Tamandua tetradactyla: one gene and its partner. The protein of the gene in region 1 interacts with the protein of each later gene in a biochemical or structural test. Links are inferred from orthologs where the notes say so. Each region holds a gene or a part of one and is shown in the gene's direction. Other genes may lie near its edges.

The links. The genes of interacting proteins can lie anywhere in the genome.
Region 2: the proteins of NFE2 (region 1) and MAFG form a complex in vitro, tested with the Homo sapiens proteins (2 studies listed by BioGRID and IntAct, with this or other methods). The link is inferred for Tamandua tetradactyla from reciprocal best matches to the Homo sapiens genes NFE2 and MAFG.

What each region holds. Positions count from the first base shown.
Region 1 is NC_135333.1:115,697,738-115,708,007, reverse strand, and holds the start of NFE2 (transcription factor NF-E2 45 kDa subunit), read left to right. Parts: upstream 1-5,635; 5' UTR 5,636-6,263; coding exon of another isoform or gene 6,264-6,281; 5' UTR 6,282-6,895; intron 6,896-10,270. Other genes in the region: COPZ1 (coatomer subunit zeta-1), read right to left, coding at 6,264-6,281. UniProt on the Homo sapiens protein: Component of the NF-E2 complex essential for regulating erythroid and megakaryocytic maturation and differentiation. Binds to the hypersensitive site 2 (HS2) of the beta-globin control region (LCR).
Region 2 is NC_135332.1:74,104,848-74,114,042, reverse strand, and holds the start of MAFG (transcription factor MafG), read left to right. Parts: upstream 1-4,855; 5' UTR 4,856-4,965; intron 4,966-5,683; exon of another isoform or gene 5,684-5,729; intron 5,730-9,195. Other genes in the region: PYCR1 (pyrroline-5-carboxylate reductase 1, mitochondrial), read left to right, coding at 343-508. UniProt on the Homo sapiens protein: Since they lack a putative transactivation domain, the small Mafs behave as transcriptional repressors when they dimerize among themselves.

The sequences.
Region 1 (10,270 bases):
ATAGCTTTTGATCAATTAGAAATGATATAGCAGTATGCTCTTTCCTCAACCTTATTTATAAAGTAAAACCAAAACAGGTCAGAGATCCTAGAAGGAGAAATTCCTAGCCACCACCCCCAGTTCTACAAGGCTAAGCAGGTATGTGCCCCCTTTCTGTGTGCCAACTTCTTTCAAATGAAATGCTCCTCAGGGACTGAGGATCTAACTTGTCAGCCACAACATTCAAGACCTCAGATGAAAAGAAAAGAAGAATTAGCTAAAAGTCTTTGACAGGGAAGAGCAGTTTTCACATACCACCTAATGATTTGCTTAGATTCAAGAAGCATAGCTGAGAAACGAACAGGAGCCACAAGTATCACAGAAACCTACCCACGTGACACAAGACTGACTACTGGTTATAAGGAGGGAACTGAATACCTGTCTTAGAAAGAAATGATGGCAAGAAGAGACATCTACAAAGACTCTTCCTACCTGACATAGATATAACACATAGTACGTAAAGCACAGCCATCAAGAATTCCGACATCACATATAATGCAACAGGATGGGATACACAGGTGGTTCGGCGGGAGATGCCCATCTTCCACTTGGGAGGCACAGGTTCGAATCCTGGATCATGCACCCCCTCGCCCCCCCCAAAAAAAGTTCATAAAATGCAACAGAAAATGTCTCTGAACTCCTGAAACATTTATATTATACTTTGGCTCAGCCATTAACTCAATAACTACCTTTCTCTAGGACTCAGCTTCCTCATGAGAGAAATGAGAGGCCTGACCTGTATCAGTTGAGGTTAATGCCTTTTTTGAGTTACAGAAGACCCCTTTGATAAGCTGATGAACTACGTACCCTGTTCCCAGAAAAATACACATTCACACATTTTTATGAGTTCAGGGTATTCATACACCTAAGTTTGGAATTAAATAAGAGATTCTCTCTGAAGACAACAATGGTGGGGGGAGGAAAGAAAGGGGGGGGATGAGTGATACTTTCGTAAAATCATCCCCTCCGCTTTCCCTGGTATCCAGCAATGACTTCAATAAACACGCAGGTGGCCTTCATAAATTAATATGATTGAGAAAACACACACAGCCAGCAGGGGGAGCAAAGGTCAGCACCATATTCATCCAGGTTTTCAGGGCTGAATCTGGTGGTTGTGAGATGGGCAAGACACAGATAATGAGGCCCCCAAGTTCTTCAGGAATGCAAAGTCTCAGTTCCTTCCTGAAAATTCAGAAAACCTATCTGTTGGAGAAATTTTTTGCTCAGAGATAACAATCTCTAATTCTTCAACCACCACGAAAGTGCAAAGAATCACAGAAATGCAGGACAATGCAAGACTGCTGGGAAAGGAGATAAATAAGTAGAAATCATATTGTACTCGACACCCTTAGGTCCAGAGCAGCATTAGAACTTCCTACCTTTCCAGTCTGATAATCTAGGAGCCCTCATTTAAGTGTCACTCAGAAAAGGGAAAAAACAAATGGGGTAAGGTCCTAGCTCATGATTTGTGTCATGATTTATGGCCCTCCCCATCCCCAGCTACTGTAAAGGAAAGGCCAGTCTCTGAAAGAATGAACCGATAACCTCTGTGTTCATCTTTATCTATTTGCTCCCCCAAATCAGCCTCTGAGGGAGAATTATTATCCTCTCTCTTATTCCAGGATCCCTCTAAAAGCCACACAGTAGTAGAAAAGGAGTAGAAGAAAACAGGTAGACAGAGCTATCTAGGATAGGGAAACTACAGACAGGAGTGCTCCCTCCAATCAATCTCATTAGAAGGGTTATTCTGCCCAGAATCAGGGGAGGTAGGGCAGAACACTGTGTGAGGGCCCTTGCCAGGGCAGGCACCTTATAATAAAAAATTCGGACTCCCTCTTCCTAATTACTCTGGCAGAAGTGGTTAAGTAGGCAGTGATTCAGTGATTCTTTATTCCCATTCCACCCTCTACTTGTCTCTTCTAGTTCCCCTCTTCACAACTAGTTTTCCTGTCAGTATCCTGACTCTAACCAGGTTATGCCGGCAGCATAAAGTAAAAAACAGTAGTCAAGTATCTAGATGAAAAAGACCCTAAATCTGCCTCCCAGGAAAGATTTGGCTTCTCAAGGGTCTGACTTTCTTCACAGGGAGGCCCCCTCCTCCTCTTTTGACCATATGACAGCTCCCCTAGACCTTTGCTATAATTTATACCTTGCCGGGGACCAACTCCTTCCCACTACTGTAAAAGAGAAGGAAAAAATATATATAAATACGTCGGAAATCTATAACGAGGTCTTCTTGGAGGGCAAGACATGGGGAGAGTTAGAAGCAGCGTCAATTGCTCTTTGGGGGTTTTAGTTCAAGCCGAGGTCTGCTTCCAGCAATCAACCATTAAAACAAGCCGGCCAGAGTAACAGCACAGTTTATTCTGATCATTTAATGTGAAGTGTCAATAAATTAAACTTCAATCAATTAAACTAGGTGTGCAATAACCCAGATGGACACCCCGACACCAACATAATCACAATAAAAAATTTTATGGCTGCCAGGGACCTCACCGGGGGCAGTGCTGGCACTGCTTGCGCCCTAGCTGAGAAATATATCTCCACAGTGCAGGAAGGAGGAGATTGCTTCTCCTAACGAAATGGAGGGGCCAGGCACTGGCAAGGACGCAGCTGGGAGAGGGGCACAGGGGACTGCCAGGGACGAGATGGGAGTGCTTTGGGGGCTTAATGTAATTGATACCTTTGCCCAGAGCAGGGGGAGGAGGCATTTAGGCCAAGTACCTCCACTGTTAGTGCCAAAGGAATTTAACAAAAGCCCCATTAAGATGATTCAGGAAGCCAAGGCCATGGAGCAACATCAACCTCTAAGAGTCATTGATGTATTCTGCACATATACACATACCCTCCTGCACTCTGGATGGCTTGACTTTTGTATAGGGTTTAGAATTCAGGATTTGGTCACTGTTTTAAGATAAAAACGTTATTAAGGGAAGAGAACGGATAGAATTAGAAGCCTAATCTGTAAAGTACTGTTCAAGTGAAAGTGAATCCAGAGAGTATATGGAAAAATGAAACTTAAGAGGAAAGATTTAAAGATCTAGACTGCTAGAGTAATTCAGCCTTGAGAAAAAAAAAAGGGTTGAAGGGGACAAGTCATTATCTTTAAGATTCTATAGGGTATTAATGGAGAATGGTGACCTGCTGAGATCCTTATCCATTCACAACTGAAAAAAGGAAAACAAGCAGAAATAGCAGGAAAGAGGAAGTAGAGTTCAAAGATGGAGGTTGGGACATTATTATTAAACACTGGAAACAGAGAGATGAAAGGGTCACTTTCCTTAGGAATTACAAGTAGACCTGAGAAAGAGGAAACAAATCTGTTTGAAAGCTAGAGCTGGATTACTTAATTCAGGAAAGAAATGTGACCCATTCTAACATACCTAAGTGAAGGGAACCTATTGGGATTAAGAAATTCTCATAATCAGAGCCAACTTTGATCAATAGTTCCACTTGATCACCTCTAGTTTACGCTTTCCTTCTTCTCAACTCTTTACTTCTTCTACAACTGTGTGCTATGTCAAGGTGAGTGAGGACAGAAGAATATTTTCTGATCAGATTTCCCCAGAGGTCCAGCCAAACCAGGAAACAGAAATGTGAAAGGAGGAAAAGGAAAGTTACTCTGAAAGGAGTTTGCCCTCTCTAGGGAGTGGCCTGTTAAACACTCAGCTGGTACAGTAAACTTTGGTTCAACAGGATAAAGATCTAAGGTGAGATACAGAGAGTCTACATTGTTTTCACAATGAAGATGATGACCTAAGAATCAGGAGATATGGCTGAGAATAGACAGAAGAGAGGATGAGATTTAAAAAAGGTACTGTAAGGAAGTTTGATTCTCAATCAAATGGAGCTAATTTTGGTAGACCAGTGTGTAACAATAATGAGGAGAGAATAGAGATTTAGGAAATATTACCTGATTCTCAACAAAAGTTCCTCATCAGAACTACATAACACAGAAAATTATTTAAGTGACCATTTTCTCACTTCCCCCAATGGAGGGTTCATAATGAATGGCATTCTGGATGCAGTGGATAGAGACTGATTCATTACAATGGATGCCTTAGGGCATTAAGGCTCATGGAACTCCAGTTGAGAAAGCTGGAAAAGTGAAGAAAAGTGTTTAAATTCTTAATTGAGAGCCCCAAATAACTGTATGTAAAGAGCAAAAAATGTTGAAAAGAGTTAACCCAAAGGAAAGATAATACTAATTTAATATCTTAAAATCTCTGGAGACCAGTACAGGGATTAATATCTGTTGGTGATGTTTGAAAGGACAATTTTGCATACAGAGGACGGAGAAAGCCCATGGTGAGAGAATCTTGGTAACATCATAGAGGGATGTGATCTTAGAGGTTGAATAAATCCAATCTAATCCTAGTTTTGATATTGTGCTTCCTTAAGCACAATTCTTAGGTCATCATCTTCACTGTGAAAAGAATGTGGACTCACTGTATCTCACCTTAGATCTTTATCCTGTTGAACCAAAGTTTTCTCGTACTTTGATTTCCCATTTAACATAATTACATTGGTCCCTCAGGATAAAAAAAAAAGCATGAGGATTATATTATTACTATGGTAACATATATACAACATAAAATTTCCCATTTTAAGCACTTTCAAGTACACACTTCAGTGGTAATAGTCACATTCACCATGTCATGCTGCGATCACCACCATCCATTACCAAAATGTCCATCAACCTACACAAAAACTCCCTACTCATTAGGCATTGATTACTTCAGTATGATTTTTAAAGCAAAGTTCTGGGGTACCTGATCAAGTTAGCTCTAACACCATGAATGCAGCATCTTAGGTACAGATTCAAGTGGATATAAGGAAGAAGTGAGTTGGAACAAATGTCCCTTAGGAAGAAGGGAGAGGAAACTGAGGTGTGAGAAAATGTGACAAAGGGAAGACTTTCACATATAACTCCCTCAATTCACCACTATTCATAAACCCTTTGCTAAAAGGGCACCCTAACTATCATTTCTCTTGCTCCTTTACTGCCAAGCAGGGTCCCTCTAAACATGTAAGGAAGGTATCTACAAATTTCTAAAAACTTCCAAAGAAACCAATTCCCTAGCATCTATCTATCCTATCTGTTAATTGGTTAAGGATACTGGTTAACTGCCTGCTACTAAAAATATATTTAAAAGTACCTGGATTTTAAGCTTTCTACCTAGATTTGAACAATCTAGGAATTATCTCCACCTTTGCCAGTTTTGAAGGAGGGGAAAACTGAAACCTGTTAGTCTCTTCTACGTGATGATGAGGATCTGGATACGGATGTGCATAAAGTCGGAGGAAAAGAAAAGTCTCCCGGAAAGCTTTCTAGAGTTCAACTCAAGGAAGGAGGCCAGGAACTAAATTCATATCATATCATAAATTCATATTCATATATATATATTTCCAAATTGAAGACAGGATATTTTTGAGAGAAATGCTTAGGTCCAGTCAAAAGGAGTAATAGGTATTTTACTGGTTTGAACAACTAAAATGGATGTTATGAATTAAAAACGGGCTAACATGCCCCTTTAACCACTACAATTCTCATGTATCCAGGGAGAGAGTCAGCATCGCAGATCCTACAGTAAGAATTCCAAAAGTCTAAATGAGGAGGGAAAAAGGAGAACAGAATAAAGAATCTGGAAAAAATATTCTACAATCCAAACTAACTCTATGAGCTATTCCAGAACTTCAGTGGAATAAACTTACTCTTCATCAAGACAGACAGACATAACAGGAATTAACGGGAAACCGAAGTAGGGAGAAAAACGGTTTTTGAAGGAATACGGCAAGGAATGTCAAACTCATAGCCATCAAACTCACAACTTGTGATGAGAAAACTCTAATCCTACAATTTGGGGCGAATTTAGATATTTAAGGAAACTCAGATCAGGAGATCACCCACAATGTAAAGAATTAGGGAAAATCTAAAGAAGCCCCCAACCCTGCACGCTTATAATTCTATGTATCCTCGGACTCCATGTGCTCCCTTCAACTTTTCACCGACTCTATGACCCTCTTTCTCCCCGGCAGGGCTTCCTACTCCGGTCCGAGGCTTTAGCTCCTGTGCTAGGCCACACGCTTATTCCGAGGGCCAGCAGAACCTCCGGTCCCCGAGGATTACCCAGAATTGCCCCCTCTCCTCCCTCCAGTCGAGCTGAACCCGACTCCGGCCCCTATGGACATCTCAGCATCTCGCCTGCCCCTCCGACTCCTACCAAAATCAGCGCCTCCATCTTGCCCCGCAGCTGGTGCCGACGTGGAGCCGCAAAAAGAACGCAGCCGCTGATTGGCTCTACGTCTCCATTAAGCAGCCCCCTAGGATAAGGGTCATTGGACACCAGACGCCAGAATTGCCTTACTGACCAATCAATGTACTAGCTTTCTCAACGGAAGTAAGATATCCAACCAGAAAACTCAGATATTTGATTGTCAGCTTGAATACTCAATAAAAAGCCAAATTCGCTCCAGGGAATGAGGCATAGAGTGACAGGGGCGGGGTTGTTTCCATGGGGAACAGAGGAAGCGATTATTAATTTTCGATTGGTAGAGTAGAGCGTACGTGATACCGTCGACTCGCCTAAGTAACTTTAATCAGCACTGCCTGTAGGGGGCGCTATGACCTTTTGGCCCTTAGCACTGGCAGCCGGTGACAGAATCCTATCCTAATCACTATACCAAGAGCCCACCCTAGGTCCATGTTACTTCGGGTTGCTGGAGCAGCTATGCCTGACACCCTCCAGGCTTGGTCAGCTATTTAAGCATCCTCAAAGGAAGTCTGTACAACCACAAAGTGGAGCCACTACACTAGATGCCTCGCGTTTTAACTAGAAGAACCAAGGCCGCCACGGTAAAGATCTCTCTAAGTTGGAGTCCCAGGCTTTGCAGGACCCAGGGAAGGAAAAGAAGCCAGTGAATTTCTCTATTAACAGTTTCCTTTGGTCAGATGTGAAATGAGACGTTAGAGCTTTAGACGCCTGAAAGGAGAAAAATAGGAGGGGTAAAGGGTTTGTAAAGGACCAGGACAAGGGAGGGAGGGTACAGGGAGCAGTGTCTGCGGTTTTCCAGTAGGGACAAGCCGTTGCAAAACGAGAAAAGAGAAGTTTACTAAGTGCAGAGATTTCACAATGGGGCAGGGTTTTGATCAAGTTTGCTTTCCCCAACCCTTGGTTCCTTGGTGCCTGACCCCCGTAGTTCGGCACCTCTCATTGCCTTATATTATCCCTACAGGAATTTATATTTCCCATCTCAGACAACTTTGTCTTTAGGATCCCTCCAAGAAAAGGTCCAAACCAACCCAAGAGTTTTTTTTTCATAGTTTCAGAGTAGAGTCAGAGGGCGTAAGAGAGAAGTAAAATAAACAATGGAAAAGTTTTGGTAATAGATGCTGGTGATGGTAGCACAATAACATCGCTGAATTATGTATTTGAATGTGGTTAAAAAGGAGAAATTTTACGTTGTATAAATGTTACTAGAATAACAATTTTTAAAAACCATAGGACTATACAACACAAAGAGTGAATTAATGTAAACTGTGGTCTATAGTTATAAGTATAATAATGTTTCATCAATTGTAACAAAGGTACCACACTAATGCAAAATGTTTATAATAAGGAAAGCTATGTGCGTGAGTGGGTTATAGAGGAACCCTGTATTTTCTGCATGATTTTTCTGTAAAGCAAAACTTCTCTAATAAAAAAACAAAAACAAAAACAAAAACAAGAGGAAGGTAAATGATTTTCTGATGAAGTCCCAAGTGACAAAGCTCAACAATCCAGGTCTCAAATATAAATTGAAAAATGGCAGAGAAAGTCATCTGGAATTGAGGGACTGGCGTGTGAGAAATTACTTCTTTTATACCTGATTGAGCTGACTTGATTTATCACCTTGTCCCTTTAAAATTGCAGAGATGCTAAGCCCTGGACACAAAACATGAAGGTCCATTATCTGTGAACTTCAGAGTCTCAAACTGGACGCTTATAGTTTAAGGAAACATAGATCCACCCCCAAGGCTTCAGTTGATGAGGTTGGAATTGAGCTCTCTTTGTTGTAATCTGTAACTCAACCTGCAACCTCTTTGAGAAAAGAGTATGGAGAGGCACAGTCTAAATAATTTCACAGCAGAAGACTCCAACTTGACGATCTTTCCACCAAGGTTTTGGGACAACTCAGATTAGATACTACATATAAAATGGGAAGGGAAACAGTTGACCAACTATGAGCCCAATCAGGGATGCTTAGGCTTGAATATTGGGGTTTGGACAGAAAGATGGTGATAAGGAGCAGAGAGGGGAGTATCTAGGTAAAAATCTTAAAATCCAGGTAGTTTTTAATAAGATATTTTTTATTGTAGGCAGTTAACCAGTTAACAGATAAGGTATCAGATGAGGTAGATACTAGTTTTTAGAAATTTTTAGATACCTTCCTACACCTATTTAGAAAGGAGCTTACTTGGAGGTAAAGGAGTAAGAGATGATAGGAAACTCTTTTTTTAATTTGTGTGCTGTAAGGCAGGGGTCACATTTCATTCTTTTTCCATATGAGTATCCGTTCATTGCACCACCATTTGTTGAATTTTTGCTTTTGTTTGGTTTTTTGTTTGTTTGCTTATTTGTTTGGGGAGTGCATGGGCCAGGAATCGAATGGGGCCTCCCGCATGGCAGGCGAGAATTCTACCACTGAGCTACCCTCACATCCCTTAGAGAACTCTTTTAACAAAGGGTCTATGAATAGTGGTAAGTTGAGGGAGTTATATGTGAAAGAAAATCTTCCCTTTGTCACATTTTCTCCTACCTCAGTTTCCTCTCCCTTCTTCCTGAGTGATGTTTACTTCAGCCCACTTCTTCCTTATATCCACCTGAATCTTTACCTGAGATGCTGCATTCATAGTATTCCAGCTAACTTGATCAGGTACCCCAGAACTTGGTTGATGGAAATTTTGGTAATGGATGGTGGTGATGGCAGCACGACATTGTGAATATCATTAACGTCATTGAATTCTGTATTTGAACGTGGTTAAAAGGGGAAATTTTAGGTTTTATATATATTACTAGAATAAAAATGAAAAAAAAAACCACATAGGACAACATGGCATGGTGAACCCTATTGTAAACAATAGGCTATAGTTAATTGAAGAGTTATAAAAATGTTATTGCATGAATTGTAGCAAATGCTACAATTTGTCGCAATACTAATGCATGGTATTAATAATAGGGTGGTATGTGGGAACTTTGTGTTTTATGCATTATTTTCCTGTAAACCTACAAATTCTCTAACAAAAAAATTAAAAAAAAAACCTAAGTGGTCTAGACAATCCTATTGATCAAAATAGTTGGGGTAACTGATTATTTTTTTCATTTAAAAACTTTAAGACTCTATCATAAATATCTTTGTATATGTTTTCAATAAATGTTTATCAAATGCCAGCCATGTGCCAGGCATTGGCTTTGGGCACTGGGGTTATAGCAGTGAACAAAACAATCAGGTACCTCTGCCCTTGTAGCATTTGCATTGTAGTTAGGCAGCGGAAGCAGAGAATAAACCGAAGAAATAAGTAACCTATATAAGAGTTAGGTGGTGATAAGGTTTATGGAAAAAAATTAAAACTAAAAAGGAAAACCGGGAGTGATCCCATTATGTTGCACAATATGGAGTGGTACCTTTCACAGTGAGATGTGAAGGAGAGGCAAGAGGTTCAATAAGATGGTCCCAGAAGACCTTACTAAGAAGGGTACATTTGATAAGACACCTAAAAAAAGTTAGAGAATGAGCCATGTGGATATTTGGGGGAAGAGCATTCCAGACAAAGAGAAAATATAGGAAAATATGGAAGAAAAATATTAACATAGGTTACCCTGAGAGGATGAGATGGAAAGAGTGGATTATTCAATAGATTTTCTTTATATATGTTGTTCCTGTAGGACTTTGTTACAACAAGCAATTTAAAACTAATAAATGAAAAAGGGACTATCATAAAATGGGGATAAAGTTGGGAGGATTAAATGAGATAATGTTTGAGAAAATGTGTGTAAACTGTTAAATGCTTAGTATTTACTTATTATTTTATAAATAACTGAACATAATTGAACACTTCTGAGCAGAAACATGAGTTTATGGAAGCAATTTTAAGATCATTAATTTGACTGCACGTGTGCAGGTAGGATGAGAAGAGGACAAGTGAAAGGCATAAAGACTAACTAGGGAGACACCACAGTTCTTTATGTTC
Region 2 (9,195 bases), on another chromosome or scaffold:
GTCCAAAACTGCACAGACTTCTCCAGGGGGCACTGCTGGCCTGCCCTCCTGGCACCAGTCCACTGCAGGGGACATGCATCCTATAGCTGGGGCTCCAAGATGAGTGCTCGGGGGATCACAGGGTCAAGGGGCTTCCGGTAGAGTTGGTGACCCTGAGCCAACCTGAAGGAGGCCTGGGGGAGAGGGGAGGGGCATAGCTGCAGAGGGAACTGCCCTGAGGACCCCAGGTAGGAGGGATGGCCCAACACTGCCAGGATGGGCAGGCTGGGAGCTGTAGGCTTGGCTTCCCCTTCCCTGGTGGAGGGGGAACCCTGGCACCTAACCTCCTTGTGTGTCCCACAGGGAGTTGCAGTCCATGGCTGACCAGGAAAAGGTCTCTCCAGCTGCCATCAAGAAGACTGTGTTGGACAAAGTGAAGCTGGGCTCCTCTGAGGGGACCTCACTGTCCCCTTCTGGCCACGCCAAGCTGCTCCCTCGCAGCCTAGGCCCCTTGGGCAAGAAGGACTGACGCCACCCATCTGTCTGTCCTCCACCTGGGCTCTCTCAGCCCAGGTCACACCACAGTGTCCTTGTAGTGGCCGCTGCCTATGGTCCTGATCGGCTCAGGCTGCTGAAAGGCAGGTCAGAGCCAGGGCTGAAGTCAGGGAAGGAACGTGTCACTTCCTTCTCTCTGGAAACCTCCATGACCCCCAGGTGCTTTCCAACCCAGAACAGGGGTAGATTTTCTGACTTCAGCCTCCCTACACCCAGAAACCAAACCAGGAGACCCGGGCTGGGGAAGGGTCTTCTCGCACTCCCCACGGTGCCAGCCAGCTGGGGCTCTACCCCTTGTTAGTACAAGGGTCAAGTTTCCCCTCCATGAAGTCCCACCCAGTCTCACTCCTCTGGCACCCTCCTGCTGCACCCTGGGGCAACCCCTCTCCCTCTCTGTTTGGAGGGGGTGGGGCAGTTCTCAATGTCTGAGCCCAGGGCAAGAGACACAAGTCTCGACAAGCTGTGCCCATGGCTTCCCTCTGACATTCGGGGAAAGGACCCTCGTGTTCCCAGGGTCCCCCGTGCCCCTTCCTCCCCACCTCCCACGATGTTACAGGTTAAATAAACGATGTCCCGGCCTCCTGTCCTCGACTTCACCGTTTGGGCCAAGCCCGAGGGGAACCCTCAGCTGCAGGGTCGCTGCTGGTGGGTTTAATGTCAGAGGATGGTGGGCACGGCAGAGGGTCTCCTGCGAGCAGAGGGGCCTGGAGGTCGGGAGCATGCCTGAATGCCGGTGTCCGGGGCTGGGCTTGCTTGGCAATCCCCCCGCTCCCCACTGCTCTCGCCAGTTGAACCTGTTCCTGGTGAGGAAGGCATCCCAGAGGGAGATGTTGCCAGGGTGGCGTCTGCAGGCCCCTTACCAGAGCCGGGAATGTTCAGTCAGACACGCTATACTGAGTATGGAGATGGCAGGTCGGGGCCTTCTCCCCTGATTGAGACAGTCGCCCCCCAGGGGTCCTAGGTCGGGCATCTGGGGGGGGGGCGCAGTGGGAGGAGGGAGAGCCCATCCTGTGGGGGTAAGAACTGCCCTACATTGGAGGAGGTGTCCACCCTTCCCCTGGGGCTGCTTCAGAACCAGGCCCCAGGGCCCCTGGGTGGGCAAAGGGGACCTGCCCTTCAGGAGGTGGAGGAAAGGTGCCCCAGAGTAAATAAGGGCACAGCTGTGTTCCTCTGTCCCTGCCAGGATGGCTCGGGAGAGCTCTGGCTGCTCCCCAGAGGTGGGGTGAGGGGGGCCCTGCCCTCCAGAGTTGTGACCTGGTGGCGAGAGATAAGATGGGCGGCAGGCAGCTGGTGCTGGGCTGAAGTGCCTACGGGGTGACTGTGACTCTGCTTGGAGGCCCCCTCCCGGTGGGAGCCCCCAGCCCGGCCCCTAGCCTGCATGGGTAGAAGTGGGCATAGGGACAGGGGTGTGGACCCTGAGTTTCCCAGTGCCAGGCAGCAAGCAGCCAAAGTCATCCCCGCCCCCACAGCACAGGGTGCTGGGCACCCACCGCCTGGGGACAAGATGCCCCCAGAAGACACCTTCCCACAGGCCACACACCTGGCCCCAGGACCCAGGATCATGGCCATTTGCTAACCAGGCTCCTCAAATCTTATTGCCTGGAGGTGGGAGGGAAACCAGAAGACAAGACTCAGGGGTCCGAAGCGGTAGAAGCACATCATGGGGCCTCGGGTAGGAGGCCGGGATCCAGACAGATTTTGCTGTTTGGGGAGGTGTTTGTGCCCCTCCTCGAAGGAGGTACCAGCAGGCGGGGTGCCCAGCCTTCCTGAGGTGTTTCTCGATTAAGCAAACGGCTAGAGGTGAGGAGTCGGAGTAGAGCTGGTGGGGGCCCGACGAGGGTCTGAGCTGGGTGGAAGAGGGCCTGGAAGTGGACTGAGGCAGGAGGCAGAGGGCCCGGAATCTCCTTCCAGGAGACCTGGCACCCAGGGAGGCCGCTGCAAGTGTGAGCTCGGCCCTAAGGATCCAGAGCAGGCCACGGAGGGAGCTGCAGTCTGGGTATCCGGATCCTCACACGCAGGTGGGAAGCATCCAGCTGGGTGAAGTTCAGCCCAATAGCCCCCTCCCGGCCCCCTCCACTGCCAGCTCTGCACTTCCCATGTCCTAGGGCCCCTCCACCCTGCAGCTCAGAGCCTGGAGAAAGTCTTACTGCCCTTGGCCCAGAGGGTTCCCTTTGACCTGGCTTCTGCCTCAGTTTCCTGCCGGGAACCTGGTCCTAAATTCTGGCTCTGATCTGGTCTCGCTCTGCCAGAACCTTCCCTAGTGAGGCCGAGCCCCGGCCCAAGGCCCCATACGAGTCGGATCCGGGATCTAGAATGAATGGGCCAGACAGAGAGGACGAGTCACCCTGGGAACCCCAGAATGGGCCATCGCTCTGGACCCCCTCCTTGGAGGAGAGAGGCCAGAAGGAGCAGGCCTGGGCCTGGATCTAGGTTTGGACTAGGTACCCTCAGCCTTCCTGGAGGTCAGTTTGGGGCCTGCTGCCCAGTGGGAGGAGCAAGCAGGGTGCCAAATTCTGTCCCCTGGAGGGTGCGCCCGACCTGAAGAGGAGTTGTAGGACAGCGGCTCCTGGAAAGATGTCCAAGGCAGTTTCAGCAGGAAGGTGGCGCCCAGTGGCCAGGCAATGTCCAGAGGCGGGCTTGTGCAGGGAGCCAGGCTGGAGCCTCTGCTGGTGGACAGCTGACAGACAGATGGACACACCCAAGACAGCAGGCCTTCCCTCAGAAGGAGGAGGAGCCCTTCAGATGCCCCAAAGGCCTTGCCAACTTTGGCTCAAGCAAGGCTGAGCTGCTACTCCCAGGACAAGTGCCCTGGGCCCATGTGGAGAGCCGGCCAGGAGGCTCAAGGGCAGGTGTTGAGACCTGCACACCCAACCAGCTTGGCTCTTGCCAACCCCTGAGCTTCTGGGGCTTGCCAGCTAGACTGAGATAGGTCCTAGGGCCGGGCAATTCAGCCCTTTCAAGGGCAGTACCTTTCTCTCCCTCAGCAGCCCCCTCCCCCCTCCGCTCTAGACGTGCTGTGACATTGTGGAGCAGGTTCTGGGGTGGGGGCAAGGGTCATGGGTCGAATTGTGTCCCCCAGAAAGACAGGTTTACGTCCTAATCCCTGCTGCCTGTGAACATTATCTTTTCTGGAAATAGGCTCACTGCAGATGGAATGTTAAGGTAAAGCCTATTTGACTAGGGGGACCTAACCTGATGTAACTGGTATCCTTGTAAGAGGGAGGTCTGGACAGACACACAGAGGGGAGATGGCCCTGGGAAGATGGAGGCAGAGGCGAGTGATGCAGCTACCAGCCATGGACCCTGGCAGCCACCAGAGGCTGTAAGAGGCCAGGCAGGATTCTCCCCTGGAGTTCTCAGAGGGTGCATGGCCCGGACCTCACGTGACTTCATACTTGAAGAACGGTGAGAGAATAAATGTATGTTGGTTCAAGGCACCAAGTCTGTGATCATCTGTTAGTTTCTGACCTGGGAAACTGGCCTGGGTTTGGGGGGGGGGGCAGCGGGGAGCCGGGGTTACCTTCTAGAACGTGCCCTCTCCACAGGCCCCAAGGGAAGGGAGGGTAGGCAGCACAGCACCCCATCCCCTGGACCGTGGATGGAGCTGCAGAGCAGCTGGAGAAGAGAAATTGGGGGCAGGCTCCTTCCCAAATCAAAATAATGCATAATTAGCTTCTCAGTCACCCCTGAAAAGTGCCAAAGACCCAGGCCTGGGGATGGAAGGGGCTGTCCACGCCCCAGGGTCAGTCACCCACATGTTCTGAGGTTGCTGGGGCTGGTGGCCCTATGGACAGGGAGGAGCAAGTTGATGGCCGGCTCCTGATGTCACTTGGTGCCACCTGCCAGGCCAGTCCAGCCCTCAGGGGCCCACATCCTGCTGAGCAAGGCCGAGAAAACAGCCTCACCTTAGGGGTGAGAAAGAAAAAGAGAAGGGGGAACGGGCCAGGATTCTGGGCCTGCACAGCAAATCGTTGCTGTTTCTTACATTAAAATCGGGGCCTTCAGAATCTCGGCCAAGAGCTCTTGCTGCTCCCGCAGGCCCAGGCATGAGGGGAGACTGAGTCCGCACTCATGCTCCAAAGGAGCAGGTAACGGTGACAGCCGCACACAACCGCACAAGGTGGAAGGAAAAACAAGCTGCCGGAGCTGGCAGACTGGCAAGGCTCTGGGGCCTCTTGGGTGGCCTCAAGTACCCACTTCAAGGACTCCCTTCGCTCCGGCGTGGCCCTGAACTCTGGCTCGGTGGGTTTTTCTTCCTGGCTTCACAAGCGGGAAGGAAGAAGGCTGAGTAGAAAGTCGGGCAGGTGGAAGTGGACACCCGAGGGACGGCCCCTTCTTCCCGCCAGCCGCCTTTCCCGGGGAACTCCGGACAGCAAGCGCAGGGCCAAGCGCACTCAGGAACGCATTTCTGGGCAGATGTTGAGGAAACAGGTAAGTCGACTGCGAATTCAGCGGCCCTGGGAGCTGGGTCAGGACCGACAGCCCCTGCTCACGAACGGGAGCGCGCAGGGGTGGGCCGTGCGGGGCGGGTTCTTGGGGTTGCCCCGCAGGAGGTGCCCAAGGGTGAGCAGGTGGTGTTCCCGCTCCCTCCATGAATGCTCCGGGACCTGGGTCCCACCTGCGCCTGGGGAAGTGGTCTTGGAAGCCGTGAGCTCAGAAAGGCTCTGGAGATGCGGCGGAGCGAGGAACGGCCGCCCCCACGTCCTAAAGACCGGGGAAACCCGCCTTGAGTTCGGAGCGCGCTCCCGCTGCCGCCAGGAGGGCGTGGCCGGACCCGCGAGACCCCACCCGGGGACAGGCGGGCGCGGCGGGCGTTGCCAGGGCGACGGCCCTGGGGCGCGCAGGCGCCGTGCGGCGCGCCCGCCCCGCCCCCGGGCGCCACCGGCGCGCCTTCCCCTTTAAGCGCCAGCCGGTCGCGTCGCCGCTTCATGAATGGAGCCCACGTGACCAAACATCATGTGACGTCTGTGGAGCGGCGGCGGCGGCGGCGGCGGCGGCGGCGGATCCTGAACCTGGTCCGGTCCGGCCCGGCCTTCTCAGCGCGCTCGGCCCGGCCCGCGCAAGCGGCGACCCCACCCAGACCCCGTGCCCGGCCCCCCGCGCCCAAGCCCCGCCCCGCGCGGCCCCGGACCCCGCGCGGCCTCGCCCGGCCCCGGCCCCGGCCTTGGCCTCGGCCCGCCCGGGCCCGCAGTGTGGTGAGTGCGGCGGGCGGCGCGGGGGGCGGCGCGGGGGCCGGCCGCGGGCCGCAGGCTCCTCCCGGTACGCGGGGGTGTGGGCCGGGCGCTCCCGCCGAACGATGGGGTACGACCGCCCGGGATCTGCCCCGCGCCCTGCTGGCGGCCAGTGCCTCGATTTCCCCACAGCTCGGGGGCCAGGCCCCTGGCCTCTGCCACCCCGCGTGCCGCGGGGGGTGGAGCACCGGGTGGACGCGCGGCCACGAGCGGCGCGCGCGTGGAGCTGGCTCGGAGGTGTCTGGGGTCTTGAAGAGGGAGGGGCGGCCTCGGGGCCGGAGGGAAGGGCGGGGTCGAGCGGGCCGTCGCGGGGCGCATAGGTATCCCCAGGAGAGCCCGGCGGGTTACCGCTCCGAGTGCTGATTCATCAGGTGTCCGCGCCGGGCCCCCCGCGCGCAGGGGTCCCCGGCGGGGCCACGGGAGGAGGAGGCGCTTGCGGAGCGGGCCGGGAAGCCCCTGCCCGCGTTGGCCTCGCCTCCGGTCGCACGCGTGCGGGGCCTGAGGGAGACTTGCTGAGTCATCAGCATGAGGTCACTCGCTGCTCAGCCTGGTGCCTGAGGAGTGGTGGTGGGGGCTGGCGGGAGTGACTTTGGGGGCTTCAAGGCCGGGAAGTTAAGGGGTGGAAGGAAAAGCCTGGGGATGTGGTGAGGGGGTCAGGCAGAGGGGTGGGGGGCTTCTATGTAAGTCTGGGCTGAAGGTGAGAGTGGCAGGCGCGGTGGCGGACTGGGGAGGCAGCAAAGGGGACCGCCTGCAGGTCAGCTGTCCGGGAGCCTCCCAGGCACGCTGTGCGCAGACAACCGGCAGTCCCAGGTCTGGGGCAGTTCCGGAACAGGGAGAGTTCTCTGAGCCGAGAAGAGGGGAGGAACTCAGGGGCCTGCTGACCCTGCTGGGAGGGAAGATTTTTCTTGTGCCCGGCCAGGCAGGGCAGCCCCTGGGAGAATGAGCTGGTGGGAGAGAGAAAGGTTCGCTCGGCTTTGAGGGTCTGGGGTGAGCTTTGAGGGTCTGGGGTGAGCCGGAGCAAAACAGGAGAGGAAGCCGGCTGTAGGGCTGCTCTGCCAGGAAATTGCAAGGGAGAGGAAGCAATGGAACTTAGAAATCAGGGGCACACTGTGTGTGAGCAGGCTTCTCACTCAGCTAGCCTTGGGGTTTCAGGAGGCTGCAGGTGGTTGGAGTTGTGAGGGGCCTGGCCTTCTGGGGTGCAGCAGATGGAATGGGAAGAGTACAGCTCCCCATCATCCCAGAGTTGGTCCCACCTGAGGCTGAGGTTCGGCAATGTGTGAAGTTCACAGAGAGTGTGAAGCCCTGCTGGGTTGTGGCCAGGTGGCCACAGACTCCTGGGCAGTGACAACTCGAGGGTGGTGTGGCTGAGCTGCCTTTCTTTGCGAGCACAGAGCACTGGTGGTTCCGGGGCAGGGGAGGGAGCGTGCAGCCCACCAGGAGCCCTTTCTGCTGCAGTCTTGGCCAGCTTGGGCTGACTGTGGTTTGTCCTCGGGAGTGCCATCCCCTTGTTTGTTCTCTGGGGGTTATAGATGCCAGATGTCTTACACTTTAACAGATCCTTTGGTATTTTATACCCCTAGGGAATTACATATTCCTGGAGGGGGTAGTTGAGTCTTCTCAGTGAAAATTAATTTGAGACTTGTTTCAGAGAATGGCTTTCTTAGCTGAGCGGCTTCTGGAGAATGCGAGTCTGAAGGGTGGGGCCAGGTTGGGGTGCCCGAGTGGGTCCACTGCACCTGCCCTGCTGCAAGCTCTGGCCAGCGGGTTTCAGACCTCGATGGTGGGAGCAAGGGCTGCCAGTCTGGCCCCAGCCCTGTGTCCCGGGATTTTTCCCAAGGGGAAGGGGTGGGGCCACCCCAGCCTTCTACCCTTTCCTGGTTCTCTGCCTGAGTGGGTGGCCAGTGTACCCTTGTGGGTTGGGGCCCTTGGGACCATCTGTATCCCTCCTCAAGGGGGCTCAGTTCTGGGGAAGTGGCAGGGCCCCAGCTATGGTCCAGCCCCAGATGTGGCCTGTTGGAACACAGCGTCCATGGGTGCCGGAGGCCACCACCCTCAGGCTGCCTCCAAAGGCTGCTGTGTCCCTCTCTGTGTCCCCAGGTGTACCCCTGAGTGGCAGGCAGGAAGCCCCGGCTGTGCAAAGAACTGCCCCGCCCCCACTGTGCACAGGCACACTCACACACGCACACATGCCTCGGGTGAGGGGTGATTGCTGTGCATGCTGAGTCCGGGCCTTCTGCAGAGGGGAAAATCTGTTGAGGAGGCACTTTTCCACACCTAGTCGCCACACTCGGCACTTTTCAGTGATCTCTTAGAAGTGCTGAGTGGTCTGGGGGTGGGGACAGGAAAAGCTGATGCCAAGGCAACCTGGGGACCCCAAGGCAGTGTCTCTGCCCCCAGCTTGGGCTTGGCTGGAAGGGCCTTTCTCACCCCTACTGGGGCCAGGTGCTCTGACAGTTCTCTGGCCTCTAGTTCCCGGTCTTCCCCAGCCTTTGACCTGGAGAAGGCACGAGCCACTGCTGGCTGTGGCTAACACTGCCTCTCCTCCCCTCTTCCTTTTCCTGCAGCCTCTCCTGCAGCTTCCAAGCTGGAGGGGGTGGGGTCTCCATCCCAGTGCAAACCTGTGCTTCTCCCTCCCCTGCCCACACTCCTCAGTGGGAGCAAGAAAGCCTGCCCCCCCCCCCCCCCCAAAAAAAAAACTCTGCCTCTGGTGCTTGTGGCTTTTGCTTGCAGTATGTCTCACCCTTCCAGTGTACAAGTGTCTTCTGAGCCATTTACCTTCCTGGATCTAACCTGGGAGGTGGAGGCACAACGGGGATCTGGGGTACTTGCCATGGGCCTGGCCAGAGCTGGGCTGAGCCTGGAATCCCCTTGGAATCCAGGGGGTAGGTAGGCACAGAAAGCATAAAGGGGGGGTGGCGAGGAAGGGTACTTCTTTGGTTCAGCTTTTAGGGCAGCTCTTTGGCTAACCCTTTTGTTTTCATTCCCTGGGCCTGTGGGCAGTGACCCCAGGAGGCCAGAGAGCAGTCAGTGACCCTAGGGTGTGGAGACCCCCTGCCCCCACTGGGCAGGCTTCTGGCTAAACGTGGGCACACTTGTGAAACACCCTGGATAGGGTGGGGCAGGGGACCTGAAGTGGCACCCAAAGCCACAAGGATCGTTGCCCCATCAGCGGGAGGTGGACCTTGGCCAGGCTGGAGTCACAGGCGGGTCCCCAAAACGGAGCTAGTTGAGTGACATGGCCCCCCCCCAACATCCTGGCTTTTCAGTTAGACTCCCTCGCTCTCCTGTCTGCACAAGTCCCTAGCGGGGACAGACCCTCTTAGCCATGGCGAGCAGGGGCTCTGTCCAAGACTTGTGGGAGATGGTCTTTGGGGGTGGGCCCCTGGACCACACCCGCGGGGTCGCTGGCCCCGCCCTCACCTGCTGCGGC